Coturnix japonica: one gene and its partner. The protein of the gene in region 1 interacts with the protein of each later gene in a pairwise test. Links are inferred from orthologs where the notes say so. Each region holds a gene or a part of one and is shown in the gene's direction. Other genes may lie near its edges.

Region 1 (9,541 bases):
CAATAAGCTTATCTGTGCCACTTACTCTTCCAAAATCAGCTATTTAGGAGAGTCTTTCTTAACGCTCGTCATTTATTACCTCCACTGCCTGCTTTGAAGTGTCAGCAAGCCATTGCCAGCCAAAGAAACTTCCAAATCTAGCTTCTGGTTTTGTTCTTAATTGTGGGTAACCACGTATGTGGAGTGGGACTGCACACAATACAAGTTTGCTTACTTAGTCTTCATAAAAGCTGGAAAAGTAAAAATCTAGAGATTTCTTGCTGTCACCGACTTCAGCTCTAAATGTCTCCAAGCTGGACAGAGAGGATTGATATCTGGTTGTTTTGTTCTTCCCCAGAAGATAAGCCTCCCATGTGCTGTCTGAACTTTCTTATTTACGTCTGTGAAGTCCCACGCTCAATTCACAGCTAACATGGAGCAAAAACTTGTTGCTTTTAGGACTCAGTATAATAACATTAGTGGTACATAGATGCTATGAAACACTTTCTGCCTGGAGATCTGAAAGAGCTGATACAGAGCTGAGGGCTACAGAGTAAACAAACAGGATTCTCAGGCAACCTTGAGTCTAAAGAAAGGATAAAATCCTCTAACAGTGTTATGTATGATGAGCTTCCCTTTAACATTTTGATAATGCCGGTGGAGTAAAAAAGACTGGTGATGATAATGTACCTGACCAAATAAACACAGGCTGTAGCAAAGCTAGCAAACCAGCAAATACTGAGCAAAGCTATCAGCTGTGTAACAGGCAAAAGGGCAGCAGGCTCAGCTGGGAAGGTCAGTGAAGGGTAAAGTTGTAACAGAGCTTTTTAGAGTGACATATTTCTGAGAAAGGGAATAGATTCCTGTTATTTTTTCCATGATGCAGACATGGAAATTGAACAGTATGTAAATAAGAGAGAGAGCACAGAGATCAAGCCTGTCCCTTCTCACCTAATTTCTCAGCTTAGCACAGATGTCCTTATGATACCTTGAACTGTGACCAAATGGGTAACAGTGTTTTTCTCTCTGCTTTGGGCATTCAAGGTCTTTTCTGTTTCCTCATTCATGAAAACTGGGAATATCTTCAGGAAATGAGATGTGGTGTGCTTAGAACAGAAGTGAGATCAGAGTCAGAGCAGAAGTCAATATCTTGCTCTAAGTCACAGAGTAGGTGCAGGAGTAAAAGCCTCCAAAGCCCAACTTGGGTTTTGTAGAAGAAAGAAACCAACAAAAAATCAAAGAAATGACTGACAATAGACACTATCTGAAGATCAGGGATGAGAGGTGTGTGCTTGCAGGAGGGAGGCTGATTCTAAGCTTCAACAGTGGAGAGGCTTCTTATCAATAAGGCAAAACACTGCAGCGGGTTTACAAATGACATTAGTATTAATTGGGCTCAACAAAATGTGATTTATACCCATTATTGTATATTGATTCAAACCACCGTGTCACAGGAGAGCGCATGGTGTGCTCAGAAGGCCATTCCAGTGATGAGAATTAATATACAGAAAATGAATAAAGTAACTCAGAAACTGAACAAACAGGAGATTTTCAAGTCCTTTATTATTTTCTTAATAGCATAGTATATAATCAAGTTCCAATTTCAAATGCTCTGTGGTTACATCTCTGCCCTGGTCACATCTTCTGTGCTCTTCTTACCTTTGTTTCCACACTCATGTTCAGCACTGAACTTCATTATGAATGCCAGTCACTTGTTTAAACAAATGCTTTGTTTGGCAACCTTTGTTTTCCCACTGCTTATGCAGCTGCAAAACTGTGTGCACAGTGTGTTAATTTTTTACCTCTGACCCTATGGTGGGTTTTTCTTCTAACGAAAAGAAAAGGAAACCAATGAACGAGATACTGATCTTTCTTGATCTACACAAAAAACCATCTAAAACCAGCGACTTCCTTAGGAAACAATAGCAAGTGAACGCTGATACGGAGGTAAAATAAGCTAGATATTTCCTGGAACCAAATGGTTTTTCATAATGAGACAGAGGAAAGTTGGCATAAGCGTACAGTGCTAAAGAGAGACTGAAAAATAAGGATGAAAAGGTGAGGAATTAAAACAACAAGGAAATATTGAGCTTATTTCATTTGGAAGGATAAGCCAGAAGGGCAACAGAATGTATTTTCTTCTATAAAATAAAGAAAAGAAGGATGATGTATTGACACCCTGATGTTCTTATTCATTTTTGTGAGGAGGGGGATGGCTGGAATATGAGCTGATTTGTCACTCAAACAAGATATAGTGGGTTAAAGCTGGAACAGAATGGAGTATCTGCTTCTTCCTAATGCTGGCTTATGAGCTATCTCTTACCTCATGATAAAGTAAAGACCTCGTTTGCTAAAAGAGGATGTATTTTGTGAAGCACAGGAAACACCTGTTTATCCTCAGTAAGTGGTTTGTGCTGTAAATAATAGTCAAAATTGGTCCTGATTTAAGCACTGAGAAGGTGCCAAGTTGCTATATTACTTTTATTATGTCTCTGATCAAAGTCGTAGACATCAGCTGGATCCTGCCATAGTTTCCTACCATTACTTTGATGACCACAAGTGAATATTGGTTGATGTGTTGTTTTAGCTGAGGAGTAGCTTTACAATGAGGAGCAGGATCCTCAGCAGAACCTGAGTTAATAATCTATGGGAGGGAATGCACTGATTAGGAACCAGGAGGGCTGTTATCCTAACATCCCAATATCCCATATCCTAATGGGTTTGGGTTTGGACAGCAAAGGATTTTAGTGGCACAGCAGGTGCTGCACTGTATGTATCTGTACCATTGCTTTTCTAGCAGGGTTGCTTGAGTTTTCCAAGTCTGATACAGGGCAAATGTGCAGCAAAATATGACATAATCCATTGGGAAAAGTCAGTTTGTAAGGAGTTTAACCTCTGAACTTCCTAATCTGCTTGTGAAAGGACAGAACAGGCTAAATAAACCCATGGACTCAGCTGAGCATTTACCCCATCATTGCAATGATGCATAAGGCTGAGATGGGGACATCACATAGGCCACTGCGGCCTACACGCGTTGCGGTGTGCGAACTACAACTCCCAGCATGCACCGCTCCAGCCGATAGTACTACAGATCCCGGCCTGCTCAGTATGGGCGGTGCCCAAGTGCTGCGCGTTGCCCTCTGGGAATTATAGTCTCTCCCAGCGGCGCGGCGGTTGCGAGGCCGCGTCTTTTGCGCGCATGCGCGGGGCCTTCGAGCCAGGCGGGAGGCGAGAGATCGCAGCGCGGCGGCGCATGCGCAGTGAGGAGACGGAGATCTCTCGCGAGGAAGGACGCCATTATCGCAGCCGCCCGACAAACACCACGAGAATTCGGCACCGCACACGGTAACCGCGGCGCCCCGCGGCCGGACGGCTGGGGCCGAGCTCCCGGGGGGCCTTAAGGCCGGGCCTAGAGCCTCGTTTATCGCAGCGTTCCCGTTCCTTAGAGCGTCAGGCCGAGCAGCAGGGCCGTGAGGCGGAGGCTACGGGGGAGGGGCTGCGGGCTTTCAGGCGGGGAGCGAGGGAAGGGGGGAGGCTGAGGCCTGGCCTCCTCCTGCGGCCTAAGGGCTCTGGAGCCGGGCCTTGCGTTCTGCTCGCCTCGCTCCCCTCCTGCCTGCTCTGTGCTGCTCTATGGGCCGGGTGTACAGCCCCTCTGCTCACCTCTAAACCGAGGCCGTCCCTCCTCATTCCCATTTCGGGTCGTGGGATGGACTGTGGAGCCCCCTTAGCCCCCCACTATCGCGACAGACTGCAGCCTTCTTTAGGGCAGCCCCCCACCCCCTATCGCGACAGACACTGCAGCCTTCTTAAGGGCAGCCCCCCACCCCCTATCGCGACAGACACTGCAGCCTTCTTAAGGGCAGCCCCCCCACCCCCTATCGCTACAGACATAGAGGGGGCTGCAGCCTTCTTGAAGGGAAGAAGTCCCCTCTGAAGTCCCCTCATTCTGTCATTGGGCACAGTGAAAGGTTTTTCACATCTCCACCCCCTGCTGCTCTGTTTGGGGGTGGGCAGCTCACCCTTAATGTTTTTCTTCTTCCCTTCGTTCTTATCTAATGCAAAAAGCAAGCACCGCAAGAATATTTTAAGTCCTGCACTGTGGGAAGTGATGCACTTGGAGTGAAGGCTGCGCTTTTATCCCGCTGTGGGGATGGTTTATTTATAGGGTTATATTTAGAGATCACCAGGGGGAAAAACAAAAAGCCCAAGGAAATCAATTGGGAGGGGGGTGTAACTGCAGCACAGTGATTGCTTAGCATAGAATGGGCTGAAAAAGACAGCAAGGATCATCCAGTTTCAACCCCTCTGCTATGTGCAGGGTCACCAGAGCCACATCCAGCGTGGACTGCTTCCATTAGAGCAGTTTGCAAAGTCTTTTAAAGCATTGTAAAACTATACTTCTTTTCTTTCTTCTTAACCTTGGGTGTAGTGCCCTGTTGACTGATGTCAAGGAGCAAACGTGCCATTTGTCTGTAGGGTTTTGGCTGCTCGCTTAACATCCATCCGAATCAGCCCTGCTTGTTTTCAACCCATTGTTTCACGGCTGTGATATGATGTGGGTGGGGAGAGTCTGAGCACCTGTGAATGGTTGTCCATGGGAATAGAGCAGAATAACAACTAAGCTGCACTGAAACTGGACTCTGTGCATTCAGTGCTCCTTGGCAGTAGTTCAGTTTTCACTACTACGTGCTGGGAAGGAAGACTTTTTAGTTCTGAAAGATGGCGTTGGGATTTTGGAAGCGTTCTCAGTCCATCTGCTTGAGATGAAAATATTTTGCAAGGTTTTTTTTTTTCTTTGGTTTTAGTTTATCATCTGTTACGCTGTAACAGAAGCTGCCTTTAATGACTTAATTATCCAGCCGTGGCTGCATGAATATAGAGCAGGTTTAAAGCTGTACGGCTCTTTGCTTTAGTTTGGGACTTGGTCTTTAGTTCTTATCTATTGAAGTCATTTTGTTTTTTTGCTTTCTTTTTTTACCCGTATTCATTCAATGTGAAGTGCTGCTCCTTCAAGTAACAATAAAAAATAAAATGCCTTTAAAAAGTCACATCAAACCCTTGTTTCCTTGCAGTTGTAGCCCTTGAAAAAGGTGCTGTCAAGTGCTTAGTTCTGTCTCCTGCTTGTTAGACTGCACACAAACGTGACACAAACCTTCTGGGACCTCAAATAAAGTCATTTCTGATGATATCTGGACCAAATTCTTTTCATCTCATTTCCTGTTTGTATAAGCATGGCTGGAAAAGGGGGAAGCCGTGACTGCAGGAGGGAAGCATACGTTGCGTTCAGATGCATCTGTATCTTAAAACCAAGACAGAATGCCCGTCTTCTGCCGTGTTGGCGTGGATTCATAGGAACCGTGAAGAAAAACGCTCCTTCCAAACACAGCTGTACCTGCTACGCTCTGCCAGCATACCTAGATATGCTGGTGCAAGCTTAAGCTGCAATCACTTTTGTTTGCTAGAGGAAGGAGGGATGATGGCAAACAGGTTCAGATCATACTGGTAATGTATTTCAGAAGAGCACAGGGTCTGTGTTTTCCTTCAGGTGATGCTCTTCATATATATATATATTTGTAAGAATGAACAGATATTATCCCTGGGTTCTAAAGCAGCATTGAGGTCTGTTGCAGGAGCTTGGATGTTTTAAGTGTTTGAAGGTGGTAAGAGACATGGAGCAGGTGGCTTGTTTTGCCCTAGATCTGATGTTGGCTGCTGTGCTTTTTTGCACCTGTAGCAGCATGGTTGGTTGGTTGGCTCTTTTTTCCCCCCTACCCTAGATCAGATTCTTTCAGTTGGAAAAATACAAAGTTGTGTTATTCCCTTTTTTTTTTCTATAAACTTCCTGTTTGAGGGAAGCCAAACACAAAGAAATGAAGTGTTTGCTCAAGTCTCCTTTAAACCTGAGCCAGCTGTCTGTAAATACCTGACTGAAGCGAGGTCTTGGTTGTGTGCATTGCAGAGCACTGATGCTGGCCCTGCAGTGCTTCCTGTATATGCAAAGCCTATAAATGCTGTAGCCAAGTCACTTTGTAAAGGGAAAGTGACGATTTCTAGCGCTTCCAGTCTGAATCCTGGTGCCATTGAAAAGACTGTGCTATATCTTATGATATCAGGGAACGAGGTCAGCTTCAAATATGCATCTTATTCCCACAGCCTGCCTCTGTTTATTTTCTGTCCCTAGAGGAGCTGGCTGTAACGTGGTGAGTTAAACATGATCAGAGGAGGATAAATTCTGGCTCACTATCTGTGCTCCACAACCCAGCCCTGTGATGTCCACCCAGTGTCCTGGCATGAACACAACAGCAGCCCAGCATGAGGAAGAGCTTAGCAGATGGAAGTGGCTTCCTAACAGTGCTGTCTGTTCACTGTACAGTATGGGACGTGACTTTCCTCATCGCCCTCTATTTGCTTGGCTTTCTCCAATGGGATTTCCATTGAGCAGTGCATTGTACCCCCAACCTGGGTGTTTCTCATTGGTTGTGCATGGCTGGAGTGCAGGTTTGCAGGGCTCTTGTTTCATCTGAGCAGTGAGATGTTCTGATTCTGCTCAGACAACGTGGATGTTCAAGAAGAAATTGGCTGCCAGGTCTTATCTAGCTTGGGATACAAACCTGCCTACTGCTATGGTGGCTCGAAGCATGCTCAGATTTTAGTAATGTCTTTTATTCAGAGTAAATACTATTCTCCCAAGATTTCTTGCCAATAATTGCACTGAATTAAATAGACCTCATTGTTCCGGAGGTCACTGAAAGATTGATACACTGAGATACCCTTCAGTCAGCTGTTCTCTTGAGTACAGAGAATGACTTATTTATGAGACAAAAGTCACTTTGTGATACTGAAACAACTGGACGATGCAGTGGGAAAACTGGGTGTTTAAGGGCATAAACTGAGAACTGTGCTCATTTCCTTTAAATCTGGTTCCTATTTCTTCATCTTGACTCTATAATTGGTTATTTTTGGTTGCCACCATTTTGTTAATGCTGTTTATTTCCCACTTTCCAAAGGGGATTCAAACATTAAATTACCGTGTGTTGAAATATTTCTCCATCAGCTCCTTGCTGTTTCTAAGTAGCAACACTGTAAGGTGTAAGTATGAGTTTTTCATACTTAAATAACACTGAAAAGAATCCTAAATTTTGGTGACCAAATGGACCCCATCTCGTATTTGTTTCTATATCCCCATTAGAAGTCAACCTGTGCTTCTCTATGGCTTTTTGCTCATCAGTTAGCAATCGTTTTATATACCTTATTGGTTTGCTTGGTATATATGTATAATTTAAAGTTGGATTTCCATTTTTTTTATACTGTTATTTTACTATTTGGCTGCTACTGTTACTGTAAGTACATATAGACCTGTGGGCTATTGCTGCAGTTGTAGTTGGCTTCAGCTTTGGTGTGTATTCCTTCTCATCTTGGGCATTAGGATCCTCCAGAGTGGAGTTTCTTTGCCAGTTCCTGGTGCTGGAAAGAAGTTCATGGCCAAAGCTCTGGCGATAAGACTTGCTTCATCTGCACATCCTTGTTGGGGGAAACATCCCTTTAGAGGGGAGAATGGACATCATAGGATCATAATCACACAATCACAACCCCCTGCTGCAGAGGAGACCCATCTGTAAGGGCTTTGCCTTGGATGTTTGCAAACCTTGGGCTGACTTTTCGAGGGCAGTTTCTGTTGTAGGAAGGTCTAATGCCCATCTTGATGTTCTGGGTCTCACTGCAGCTCTGGCAGTGCTGTGGTTCTTGTGAACAACTCAGATCTGCTGCCAATAATTCTGATTGCTTTAGGTGGTGGTTTGCATGATGGGTCAAATGAAGAGGAACAACACTTGGAATGGCACAACTGGTGGTCAGTTATGGCCATTGTACATAATGAATGGTGATGGAAGTGTTTTATCAATGTAGTGGGCACTGGTGGTGATGGGACTGGATGGTCATAGTGATCTTAAGTGATTCTGTGCCTCTATCAGTGCTGAGAAGTGCCAGCAATGGGAGTAATGATCTACTCCAATAAGAAAAGTCCAAGTAAACGCTGTGAGCGCAATAAAGGTTTGGTGTTTTTGGAAGAATCCAGTGTTTGCCCTCACTAATTAGCACGAGAGAAGATTGATGTTCAGCGCATGTTCTCATGTGTTAACAAGTCACTGGATGCGTTTGGTTATATGCTTTGGAATGGTGCCCTGTGATTGTGTAAAGCCATCAGATATTTCAGGAAATAGCTTCGTTTGCAAGCGAGTGCTCAGATGAATTATCCTGCATTAATGTTTTAAAATGGATTAATTAAATTAAACTCACGCGCTGGTGGGCTGATATAGAATTCAGCTGACCTGAGTTTGATTTAGCTGCTTACAAATAATAATGTACTTCATTAAACAAAGGCTACTTTAAATCTAGAGTATCAGGTGTATCAACGGGGGGTGAGGTAACACTGGGCTGGCCCTGTAGGACCCAACCTACATGCTGCCTGGGGGAAGCAAAGCAAGCACATTTCCTTCCCCATTGAGGCTTATCCTGAGCTTCCTGCCTTTCTGTGTTGTTCTCTTATCACTTTGTATTTGCTCCAGGCAATGTTTCATCATCAGGTTCTTATTGTGGGTGCTTTAGAGTCAGTGGGGGCAAGGCTTGAGGTCAGAAGGGGTGAGTGGGGAAGGCTTGGGGTATCTGACCAATGTTAGAGGAAATATTTAGCTTCTGGAAATGGTGGTGAATACTTCAACAAGTAAAATACATGGGAAATGGATTGAGGAAATCGTTCTGAATTTGTAAACTGAAGCTTTTCAAAGGTGTTTTCCCCATCAGGACTTGGTAGCCATGCTGTTATTTAAAGACTGGCAGAATCTTTCAGGGCTCATTTTCTGATCTGAGGTTGAGGACTTTGGGCTGTGACCCATGAAAGGTGCAGAACAGAGGTCAGAAGCGTGAAATTACTCTGCGTTGCAGGCAGATTTAATTCATCTCAGTCATTTTTATGATGAGTTTTGGAGAGCTAAGCGTGTATTAGAATGGCTTGAAAGAAATAGAAACGCTTTGGAATGATTGATGAGTTACTGATGTATTTGTGGGCGCAGCTGGTTAGAACTCAACACAAAGCATCAGCGAAATCCAACGTTGTGTAAATGGTTGAAGTTCTCAGAGTTGGGTTTTGTTGCAGTTGGTCCATTTTTTGCTCTTTAGCAATGGATGCGTTTGGGTTCTCAGTATTGCAGTGTGTGACATTATGGACAGTAACTCGAGCACAGCTGCTTTATGATGTTAGGACTGGCTGCAGACCAGGGTTTCTCAGAAATGGCAAATCTCATTTGCCAAATGGCACCCGTGCTCTCTAGGACATTGCCAGCTTTCTCAGGCACACAGCCACGGCCGTGCAGTCCCAGTCCGTTTTTCACCACCATCAGAACTGGAAATGACTCAACATTGGCAACACCATTATTTTGAGTAAACAGCTCTGAGATGTGGGGAGTCCCAGTGTGGAGGTGGGTGCTGACATTGCACCAAGCCCCGGATCCTTCCCAAGCTCTGATGCTTTCCCGGCACCCTGTGCTCCACCTGCGTGCTTTAATGG
Region 2 (9,775 bases), on another chromosome or scaffold:
TTCAGACTCCAATGTCCAGCCTGCATTTTCAAACTTCTATCTTTACCCTTGTTCTGGTTCAAGAGCCCCCATTAGTACTTCTACTATAGGTCCACACTTCCATTTGACAGTCTTACAAATGACTTCTTCAGCTTTTATTTCTGATCCAGTGCTTCCCAAAGTTTTCATAGGCAGTATTGCTCTGGATTCATTTCAGCACTCACAGTCCCCAAAGATTCACATCTGCCTCTGAATTTCCTTCAGGGTGCAAACTGCTTCTAGAAATCTTTGCAATCTTGCAACTTGGATGAAATCCTTGGAATACCTACTTTGCATTGTCTTGACATACACGGTCTCTAGCAAAAACACTCTCCGAGGCTGCATCTACAATGTGTCCTGGTGTGTACTGGGCTGAAATCTGGCTGGAGAACACTGTGGTTTCTTTCCTTCCCAGAAAAAAAGCAAAAAAAGAGCCACTGCTGTCTTGAGTCTCAAGCTGGTATAGGGTCAGGGTGTGGCCAGAGCACACACTCGAATCTGAAGTACTATTGGTTTCCTAGCTTAGTGTGGAAATTCAATAAATGTGATAATTATTCTGGTATTAGCAGAAACAAACAAACAAAAAAACAACCAACAAATTACCTTTCAATTATCCATTACTGGTAGTGGGTCAGTCTTAATTTCTTCACATTTGTGGGGACACCAAGTCCCTGGGAAGGAAGAGAACACTATTAAGTGAAACTGGGATCACCATGGATTGCAACTCACCTGTCTTTCTGCTAGAAAAACGCATATGTCATCTCACCTTCAGTTTCTCAAGCTGCTACACTTCTGTTTTCCCAGCTTTAAGTTTAACAGAGTATCATATGCAACATTTTCTTTCTTGTGATTGCCATCAAGTGAATTTCCATCCTTCTGGTTTGGCTTAGGGAAGGATGATGTGACAGATAGGTGACTGCCAGTATTCAGAAAGGTCACACAATGAGCTGCACAAGTTGCTAGAAGAACGATGGTAAAACATCATGCACAGATTACTTTCTAGAAATACAACCATCTTTAAGTGTCTTAGCCTGTACTCCAAAAATCATGATACCAGAAATGCTAATTCAGTAAATAGTAAATACTGTTTATTTTCTTAGTTTATTTTTAGGTATTTACAGAGGAACTATTAGATCACATGATGATGTCAACCCCATCTACAAACTGAATCATTAATGTACATTTCTTTCCCCTAAATACCTTAAATGGTATTCACAACATGGGATTTGGAAGGCATGTATGTGAATGTTTATGTGCATACTCTAAGAAGAATAATCATAATTTGGCTATACCTATTCAGCAAGTCAAAAAAATACTCACAGGGAGACCAAATTTAGCTACTCCAAAACATGTCATTAGGCATACTGCCAAAATCATATTAAATGCCATGCTTACATATAGAAAACAAGCATTTGGAATTCTCTGTCTTTGGAATAGACATGGAAGCCTGGTATTAAATAAAATGGCAACAGAAACAATGTTTAAAGAGCATATTTAAATAATGTTTAATCTATTTTTACTCAATAAATTGCTATTGACAAAATAATGGGTTTAGAACACATCACGAGCTGCCAGAATCTGATTAGGGCAAGAATCGAAGGAGACACAACTAATGGAAAGAACCTGTATTAATTTCCCATGTCCTTTAATCAAAGAGCAATCCATTTGAAACTACTTACCCAACAGAACAGCTTTGTTCCAGCTCCAAAGCTGGGTTTCAGTTTTGATGTTCAGCATATATATCTTCCAATGATATCCTTTCCAAATGTGGAACCATTTCTGTGAGGGGCTATGACATATATAGGAAGATCAGATGGACTGGAATTTAAACACGTTTTTACAAATCCAGTGATTATCTTTTAGATTTTTAAAGAAAAAGAGATTTTTCAAGCATAAACAAAATAACTATGCATGAATTGCTTAGAAGTGCATCTTCAAAACAGAGTATGGTGTACTCTTCCCAAAACCCCACCATCATCTGTAGAAATGATCAGCACATGTTCGGTGCCCTAAAGAGTGTTTTAAATAGTAACAAATTACGTCGTTCTTTACATGTCTTCTGCAGAACTCAGCAAATTTGAGGCTACAATGGAATAATCTAATTATTTGGCAACTATCTGCATAAAAATATTTCAATAACATTAGGAAATGACTTTCAAAAAAGCACTGAATGACTTCAGTTACAGTTTATTCTTTGTTTCTAACCCATATATTTCCTCAGTTAAGAGTTCGTGAGGGATATTGGAATTTTCTCATCCTTTCACTTTTATTTTGTGAAAAACTATTCTAGAAGAGTTTAAATATATGCTATTGCTAATTATTACAATAAGGTCAATACTGTTTTCCATAATTAGTTTCTAATGAACATATGTTCATTAATGAAAAGTGCATGCTATGCGCAATGCCATTTGAGCTGAATGGGCATGAGAGATGTTAAACATAGAATAATACTATGTGCCGCACACAGGCACCATCCTGCGAACACACGTGATTTCAGTGTTACCATTTTCAGTAAATAGAAGCTCTCAGGATAGCATGGTAGAAGTCTAAGTCACACCTAAGTTACAAGCATGGACATAGATTTGATTCATAAATATTTCAATGTATGTTCTTATGTAAGTACATCAGTGAATGGAAGCCAATTCTTCCTGCCAGAGAAGGGCACTTCTATCCTTTGTCCAGTGCAAGGCTGCCCCAGTTGCTGGGATGCACACAGTATATACCCATCATAAATAGTGTATACTCATAATAGCAAAGAAAAGGTTTATTTGGTTTGGTATAAGCCACATTTTGGTTATTCTGACTTTGTAGGTAAGCATTTTTTTGTCATGTATTTATTTCTGTTGATAATTAATCCTATTATTTATTCCTGGTTATCATTATTCCTGTTTTAATAACTTGGGCCACAGTTGTCTCTGTAACTGTAGAAGGAAGCATATGTAAATTCAAGGGAAAGTCTGGACTTGATAATTACTGGGATAAATCAGAGGCTGAGGGCTATTTTAAAAGAGACGTAACAACATGCCAAACTACTAAAAATGTTTAATTCACTTTGCCAATCCTCGCCTTCAGAATATGGCCATCTTACAGATATCACGTGGTCTGAATAAAACATTTCTGGTAAGTATAATGACTGCATTCCATGTTGGTTTACACTTTGCCTGAAACTTTCTGTCTCTCTGTCTCTCCCTCTTTCTCTCATCTATTTATCTGTCCATATCTACATCTATCTATACTTATACCTATCTATGTATCTAAATGTTTTCAAGTGTCATATATACAACAGATTGCAATCCCCCTCCCTCCCTCTCACCCGTTAGTTAGGCCTCGCGTAGCTCTATTCAGTTTAATGTTGCTTTGCAGCCCTCCTTCTAGGTGAAGGAAGCCCACCCTGTCCGACCCCATAAACAAACAAAAAAACACCCACGGGCCTTCCGTTCGTAGCATTTTCTAAACAATGGCAAGGGACAGAAAATATCTCCTATTGTGAGCGCAGGGGGTGATGGAGGGCAGGTGGCACAGGTGAAACTACTTTCCATTTGCAGACCAGCTGCAGCGGGCTGAGGCCCAGCGCCGTAGCAGAGCGCAGGAGTGTGAATGGCCGCACACCCCCCGCCGGGTCCCGTGTGACATCCCGAGGCGAGCGGCTCGGCTCTGCGCTCGGACGGCAGGCAGCGACCCGTCACGCCTTTTGGCGAAAGGACGGGGGAAAAGACGGCGAGAAGACAAGAAAAAGGGAAAAAAAGGTTTAGCGCGTTATTTTCCAAAAGCCCAAAAATAGCAGCGCGCTGCCGCGCAAGCCTCCTTATTATTCCTCCGGCGTCGGCATGCAACCGGGGATGCCGCACCTCGCAGGGCGCCGTGCGCTCCGCCGCCGCCGACTTCAGCCGCCGCCGCTCGCTCTTCCACCCTCGCCCGCGCTGCCACCGCCGCGAGTGCGGCTCCGGCGCAGCGGCAGCGCGGGCGAGGGAGGAAGAACGAGCGGCGGCGGCGGCGGCGGCAGTTTCCCCTTTCCCCAGCCCTGGCTCGGCGGGCGCATGCTCACTTGTGCCCGCAGCCCTGGACCATATTTGTCAGGACCTACTCGAGAGCCGGAGAAAAAGAGAGAGAGAGAATTTGGGGTGGTAAGGAGCGGCGGGTCGCGAGCCGGAGCCGCCGGCCGCGGCCGGGGAACGGCGTCGGCGGCCGAAGGCCGGCGGCGGGGTCGGGTTCGGCCGTAGGTGAGGATGAAAGTTGGAGAGCGAGAGAAAGGCAGAGGCGCACCTCCTCGCCCTCCCTTACGAAACGCCGCCGGGGAAGGGAGGGGGCTTCTCCCCCCCACCCGCGCGGCGGGGATGGAAGTTCGCGCCGGGGAAAGTGGGCAAGTGACTCGCAAGTGGCGGGGGAGCGGCCGGGGCAGGGGGTGCCTCCCAGCGCCCCAAGTGTGTGAGTGAGAAAGAGGAACAAAAGAAAGAGAGAGAGAGGTGCCTGCTATTTCTTTTTCTCTCCCCAAACACATGACGGGAGTACGCGCATCGAGCCGTGCCGCGTATCTCGGCGCAGCCACGGGCACGCACGTATGTGCATGTGCATAGAGCTCCGTATGGGGGAGGGAGCCGCCGAAACGCGCCGGGGGGGCCTTTTTTAGGGGGGGAAGGGGCTCCGCGAGGAGGGGGAAGGGAAGGGGAGAGACATTTTGCGGACTTGCCCCACCGCCGAGCCGCCGCTCGGCTCCATTTAACGCCGCTCGCGGGGCACCGCGGGGACAAACGCGATGGGGCCGGGGGGGGGGGAGGGCGCGCGGGGCTGCGCGTCGGAGGGCGGGCGGCGGGGGGGGATCCTGCGCCGCGCTCCCCCCCCGGCCCGGCTCTTTGTTCGCGCACGCCGAAGACGGGGCGAGGTGCGGGCGCGGGGGGGCGAGGCGCGGGCGCGGGATGGGGGTGGGGGCGGTGCGAGAGCCCCGTTTTTTCGGTCGGAAGCGGCAGGCGGCGGCCGGGATGGACCGGTTGAATGTGCCGCGGGTTCCCGTGCGCGAAGGCCGCGCTCAGCGCGCAGCGGAGAGTTTGGCGTGCCCGTCGCTCCCGCACTTTGTGTGCCTGTGCGCGAGAGATATTTAAAATATAATCATCTCCCAATTTCCGCCATTTTGGGGAAAGTTTGCACACACACACACACACACACACACACACACCCGAAAAAAAAAAAAAAAAAAAGCTTCTTGCGATTTTTTATTTTTTTTTAAGAGGAGGAAAAAAAAAGTCTTCGGCTCCAGCGTTCCGCTCCCGCCGCTGCCGTGCGGTGCGCGCTCCCGGGGCCGCTGCGGCAGGCGGGGGGCGAGCGCGGGGCGGCCCCTGCCCGCTGCGGGCCGGCGGCTGGCACCCGCGGGCGGCGCCGGGGGTCCCGCGGGACGGCCCCGCGCTGCCGCGCACGTGTGTGCGCCCGGACGGGAGGGACGGGCGGGCGGCGAGCGGCTTCGCCCCGAGTTGCGCGCTCTCGGCCCGAGCGCCGCCGGGGGTGCGGCCCCGTCTCCCCCCGCCGCTCCGTCTCCGCAGCCGGTGCATTAACAACAGGATATAGGCACACTTGTTCTCGCTAACGTGCGTGTGAGGCGGCGTTTTCGCGACTGGGGGGAGGGATTTTTATTATTATTATTATTATTATTATCGCGATTATTATTTTGGGTGGGAGCGGCCGCCCGGAGCGCGAGGCCGGGGGGAGCCGGGGTGGGGGCCGGGAGCCGCCCCCATTTTGTGGCCGCTTCGTCGGAGCGGCCGCACGCGAGAGCGTGAGAGAAAAAGTTGGAGCGCGGGGCCGGGCTGCTGCGGGTGGGGGGCGACGCGGCGCTGCCCTCCGCGGGCAGGGGCACCCCTCCGTCGGGCGATCAGCGCGTCCAGATTGGCTGCGAGCGGCCGAGGAGCGAATCCCGCAGCCCCCTCGGGAAAGAGAGCGCGCCCCCTCCTCCTCCTCTTCCTCCTCCTCGCTGGGGGAGGGGAGGAGGGAGGAGAAGGTAAAATTTTCCCCTTCCACGCGGAGCCGGCCGCCCTTTCCCGGATCCCCGTCTCGGGGGGAGGGGGGGGCGGGAGTGAGGGGGGGTGGGGAAGGACCCGGTAAACAAGCGGAGTCCCTCTCCGGTTGTGCAACTTCCTCAGGAACCCTCGGCACCCAGTTCCTCTCCCACCCTCGCTCGCACCGCGCTCGCCCCCGCGCCGGCCGGGGGTCCGTCTCTTGCCGCGCGCTCCCGTCGCTCCGGGCCGGGGGGAAGGAGGGGGGAGAGAGAAAACGGCGGGGAGCGGCGGGAGAAGCGCGCTCCCTCCGCTCCAGCGCTGCCGGCTCGCGACCGTCGGAGCGGGCGGCCGCTTTGTCTCGTCGCTCCTGCCCGAGCCCCGGCGAAACGCGGACCCGAGCACTCCGGGTTTTTCTCCGCCAGAAAGTTTCGAGTGCGGCAAAACACGCCGCAAAACTGGCCAAGGAGGGACCTCTGGCGGTAGGCCGCGGGCAGCCGGCGGCCGCGCCCGGCGGGCCCCGCGTCGCTGCGCTCCGGCGGCGCGGCTCCAGGCCGAGCGCGGCGGGGTGCGGGCTCGGAGCGGCCCGGGCCGGCCCCACGCACCGCCGTCGGCCGCCCCGTTGTTCGCGGCGCTCGGAGGCGCTGAGTAACGCTTCCTGGAAACGCGGCCCCGCGGGATGCGTTGGGGAAGGCCGTGACGCGCGGATCCGTGCGGTGACCCGCGGGCAGCGGGACGGGCTGCGCGATCCGTGAGCTGACACGGAGCGAGAGCCGCCTTCTCATTGTTCCGTTCGTTTCCGAGAGGCGCCGGGCTGAGCGCTCGGCTTTTTTGTTCCTGCCCGCAGCGAGCGCTAACAATCAGGTGGAAAGTGTAAATACAACTCGAGACGCGAACGCTCGACTTCACGCCGCTTTCGGAACGGCTCGCGTTCACAATCAGAGCAGAACGTTCCTGCTGCGGCGTGAAGCCCCTTCGGGAAAGCGGTTCCTGCCCACAGAAGTTCAGCTGTTCCCGGCAGCTCCGGTGAACATCCGCACGAGCGGTGCCGGTGCCGGTGCGGTGCCGCCCGGGCCGCCCTCGCCGCGGGACCCCGCCGCTCCGCCGGTCCCAATGGACGCAGCGCGCCGGTGACGGCGGCTGCCGCAGCGCTCTCATTGGAGGGCGTTTGTTGTCAGCCGGGCAACTGTAGCGAACTTTGGGTTTGTTTGTTGCAGTGTATGGTTCTTATTAATTTCTTGAGTTTTTTCTCCGCTGTTGCTTTCAGTAGTACTGTTTTGGTTTTTTTTTTTTCTCTAGAAAATGGTGGCGCAGTGAGCCCTTTCCCTCTGGCTGGTTCAGTGTTTTCGGGCATCACTCGGGCTGGCGTTTGTGGGTTATTCCCGTTACCCTTCATCTTTTTAATACCGCTGACAGGTAGGATTATGGAATGTAAGCAGTGGGTGTGAGGAACCAGGGATTACATGGATGGGATTTACTGAAGACAGTAATAGTGTGCGTGTAGCCACAGCTTTTTATTGCTTCAGTAGTAGTGCTACTCATCACAATGGGAAATTGGAGCTCTTTGTGGACTGGAGATAAGGAGAAACGCAGCGACCAGTAGTTAGGAGCTAGAAAAAAAGGTGAAATAGTGGTTTAAGGATTGCAGACCAGGGTGATGAAAACAAGCAGAATAGAGGAGAAGGGCATGAGCTGAGTGCGAGTGTGCAGAGGGGCTCACTGGGAGCTAACGTCACTTCAAACAGTTTGGCATACATCAGGTGATGCGCAGTGTGAGGGTTTGGTGCATCACAGTTCTTCCTGAGATGTCTGCACTGCAAATGGAAGGAGATCACAGTATCACATTATCATAGTCTCGTGCGGGTTGGAAGGGACCTTAGAGATCATCGAGTCCAACCCCCGGGATTCGAGCCTCTGTGTTGCAGAGCGGCACTTCTACCACTTGCGCCACAGGGGGATTCAAACCCAGGGCCTCCAGTGTTCCAAATGGGATGAGATGGGAGTTTTCTGTCACTCCGTGCCTGATTCAAGGAAACAGAAGAGGTTAACAAACGAGATTTGGGAGTTGTACTCCCAACTTAGTATGTGAGCATCATAAGACCCCGTTCAGGACTGCACAGAGAGGGATGGAAACAAACAAGTCATGGAGGTGTTGTAGAGGAGATCTTTCCTCAGAGCTCCTGAGGTACAAATTCTCTATAAACAAGTTGGAAGTTGTTAGTGGTGAATTTTAGTAGCTGATAGAATAGCGTCAGTATTGGGTATTGTAGTGCTTTGTGGATGTTTGAAAATGACAAAGTAGTCAAAAGCTGTGTGTAACTGTGTTACCCAGTGGTACGCTGTTACAAGTGGAACTTGTGTTAGCTGCTGGCAGAGAGCAGATTCAGTTGTAGATACCGAAACCCATTCTCAGTACCTGATGCAGGCTCACTCCTATCAGAGAACACAGTCTGCAGTTTGTAATGCCTGTGGCCAGGTTCCTTCTGTGAGGAAACAGATTTAAGCCTATCTGCTAGGAAGCAAGACTGAACATACACTGTGTCCCTGGAGAGTGCAGCAGGCAGAGAAGTAGCAAGAGATAAAACAAGAGGAAATAATAGTAAGGGGACAACACTGACAGGAAATCTGGTCCAATTCCTCTTACGAGTGCTAAAGAGGGCAAAGAATTTTAAGCTTAGGTCCCTCTGTGAATATAATTCCTACCTACATATAGTTCATCTTTAAAGTAACTTATATGTAATAAATTTCACGAGCAACAGGCAAAGTAGTGGGACTGACTCGGATAGTCCTTCAACACACAGAAGAATAGTGGAACTGGTAAAGTAGTTTTTGAAGGATGAAAAATGAGATTTTGAAGGAAGTGTGTAATCTGCAGATACTTCTTTTAAGGCAACATTAGAAGAATTAGAACATTAAAAGAATTAAACAGATATTTTAAGGCTGCATATTAAAATGTAGTGGATACCCTCAAAATGTTCTATCGTTTCCTGCACTGTTCCTGTTGTGGTTGTTGTTGAAGTACATAATCAAGAAGTGCAAGAGGTGGAAGGATGAGAAAGAGACAAGTGAGAAGAAAAGTGGGCTCACCCTGGTGGGTTTACAGTGAATAGGAAGTAATTCTGGTTTCTCTGCGCTGCAGTTATGAGTGATCTTCCTTTGCTATATTTGCTGTTTTAAAGCTAGATTATACCCAGGTTTGTCTAAAATAAAAGGGAAGATGTGCCATGTGGGGTAGTTCTCTCGTGTTTAGCCTGAGCAGTATGATGATTCAGCCCTGGTAATTTTCCCACACTTCTGTGATAAAGCAGATAAAGACAAATGTATCAGAGCTGGGACTGCACCAGCTTCTAGGCAGTAGGGCATGAGTGTCTTTTATCTACTTTGGTCATCTCCAAAGAGGAGGCTGTTCTGATACATGTTGTCTCCTGCTGATCAGCTTGATTTCCCCTATGTATATCCCCTCCAGCCTGTGGATTCTGTGCCAAAAGTCTCCTCATTGGAGGTGACCAAAATAGTCTGTGGTATTTGGCTAAAAAGACTTGGGCCTTTGTTTCTGCATGTCTGTCAGGACTGGCTATTCCAGCTCTATGCATGCCTGTAAGGCACATGGGACATTGCTAGGAGCTGTAAGGATATCACCTCCTTTGATGTCTCTCTTTGTCTCTTGGACCTCACCCTCATCACCTGCTGCTTCATACAATCATGGAATCATAGAATTGCTTGAGTTTGAAGAGATATTAAAGACCATCCAATTCCAATCCCCTGCCGTGGGCGGC

What was found.
Region 2: the proteins of BANP (region 1) and L3MBTL3 interact in binary tests that used the Homo sapiens proteins (3 or more experiments, as listed by UniProt). The two-hybrid records come from large-scale screens. The link is inferred for Coturnix japonica from reciprocal best matches to the Homo sapiens genes BANP and L3MBTL3.

The regions. Positions count from the first base shown.
Region 1 is NC_029526.1:16,029,683-16,039,223, forward strand, and holds the start of BANP (protein BANP), read left to right. Parts: upstream 1-3,210; 5' UTR 3,211-3,324; intron 3,325-9,541. UniProt on the Homo sapiens protein: Controls V(D)J recombination during T-cell development by repressing T-cell receptor (TCR) beta enhancer function. Binds to scaffold/matrix attachment region beta (S/MARbeta), an ATC-rich DNA sequence located upstream of the TCR beta enhancer.
Region 2 is NC_029518.1:52,547,700-52,557,474, reverse strand, and holds the start of L3MBTL3 (lethal(3)malignant brain tumor-like protein 3), read left to right. Parts: upstream 1-4,012; 5' UTR 4,013-4,142; intron 4,143-5,472; exon of another isoform or gene 5,473-5,594; intron 5,595-5,908; exon of another isoform or gene 5,909-6,004; intron 6,005-7,110; exon of another isoform or gene 7,111-7,201; intron 7,202-7,293; exon of another isoform or gene 7,294-7,415; intron 7,416-9,775. UniProt on the Homo sapiens protein: Is a negative regulator of Notch target genes expression, required for RBPJ-mediated transcriptional repression. It recruits KDM1A to Notch-responsive elements and promotes KDM1A-mediated H3K4me demethylation.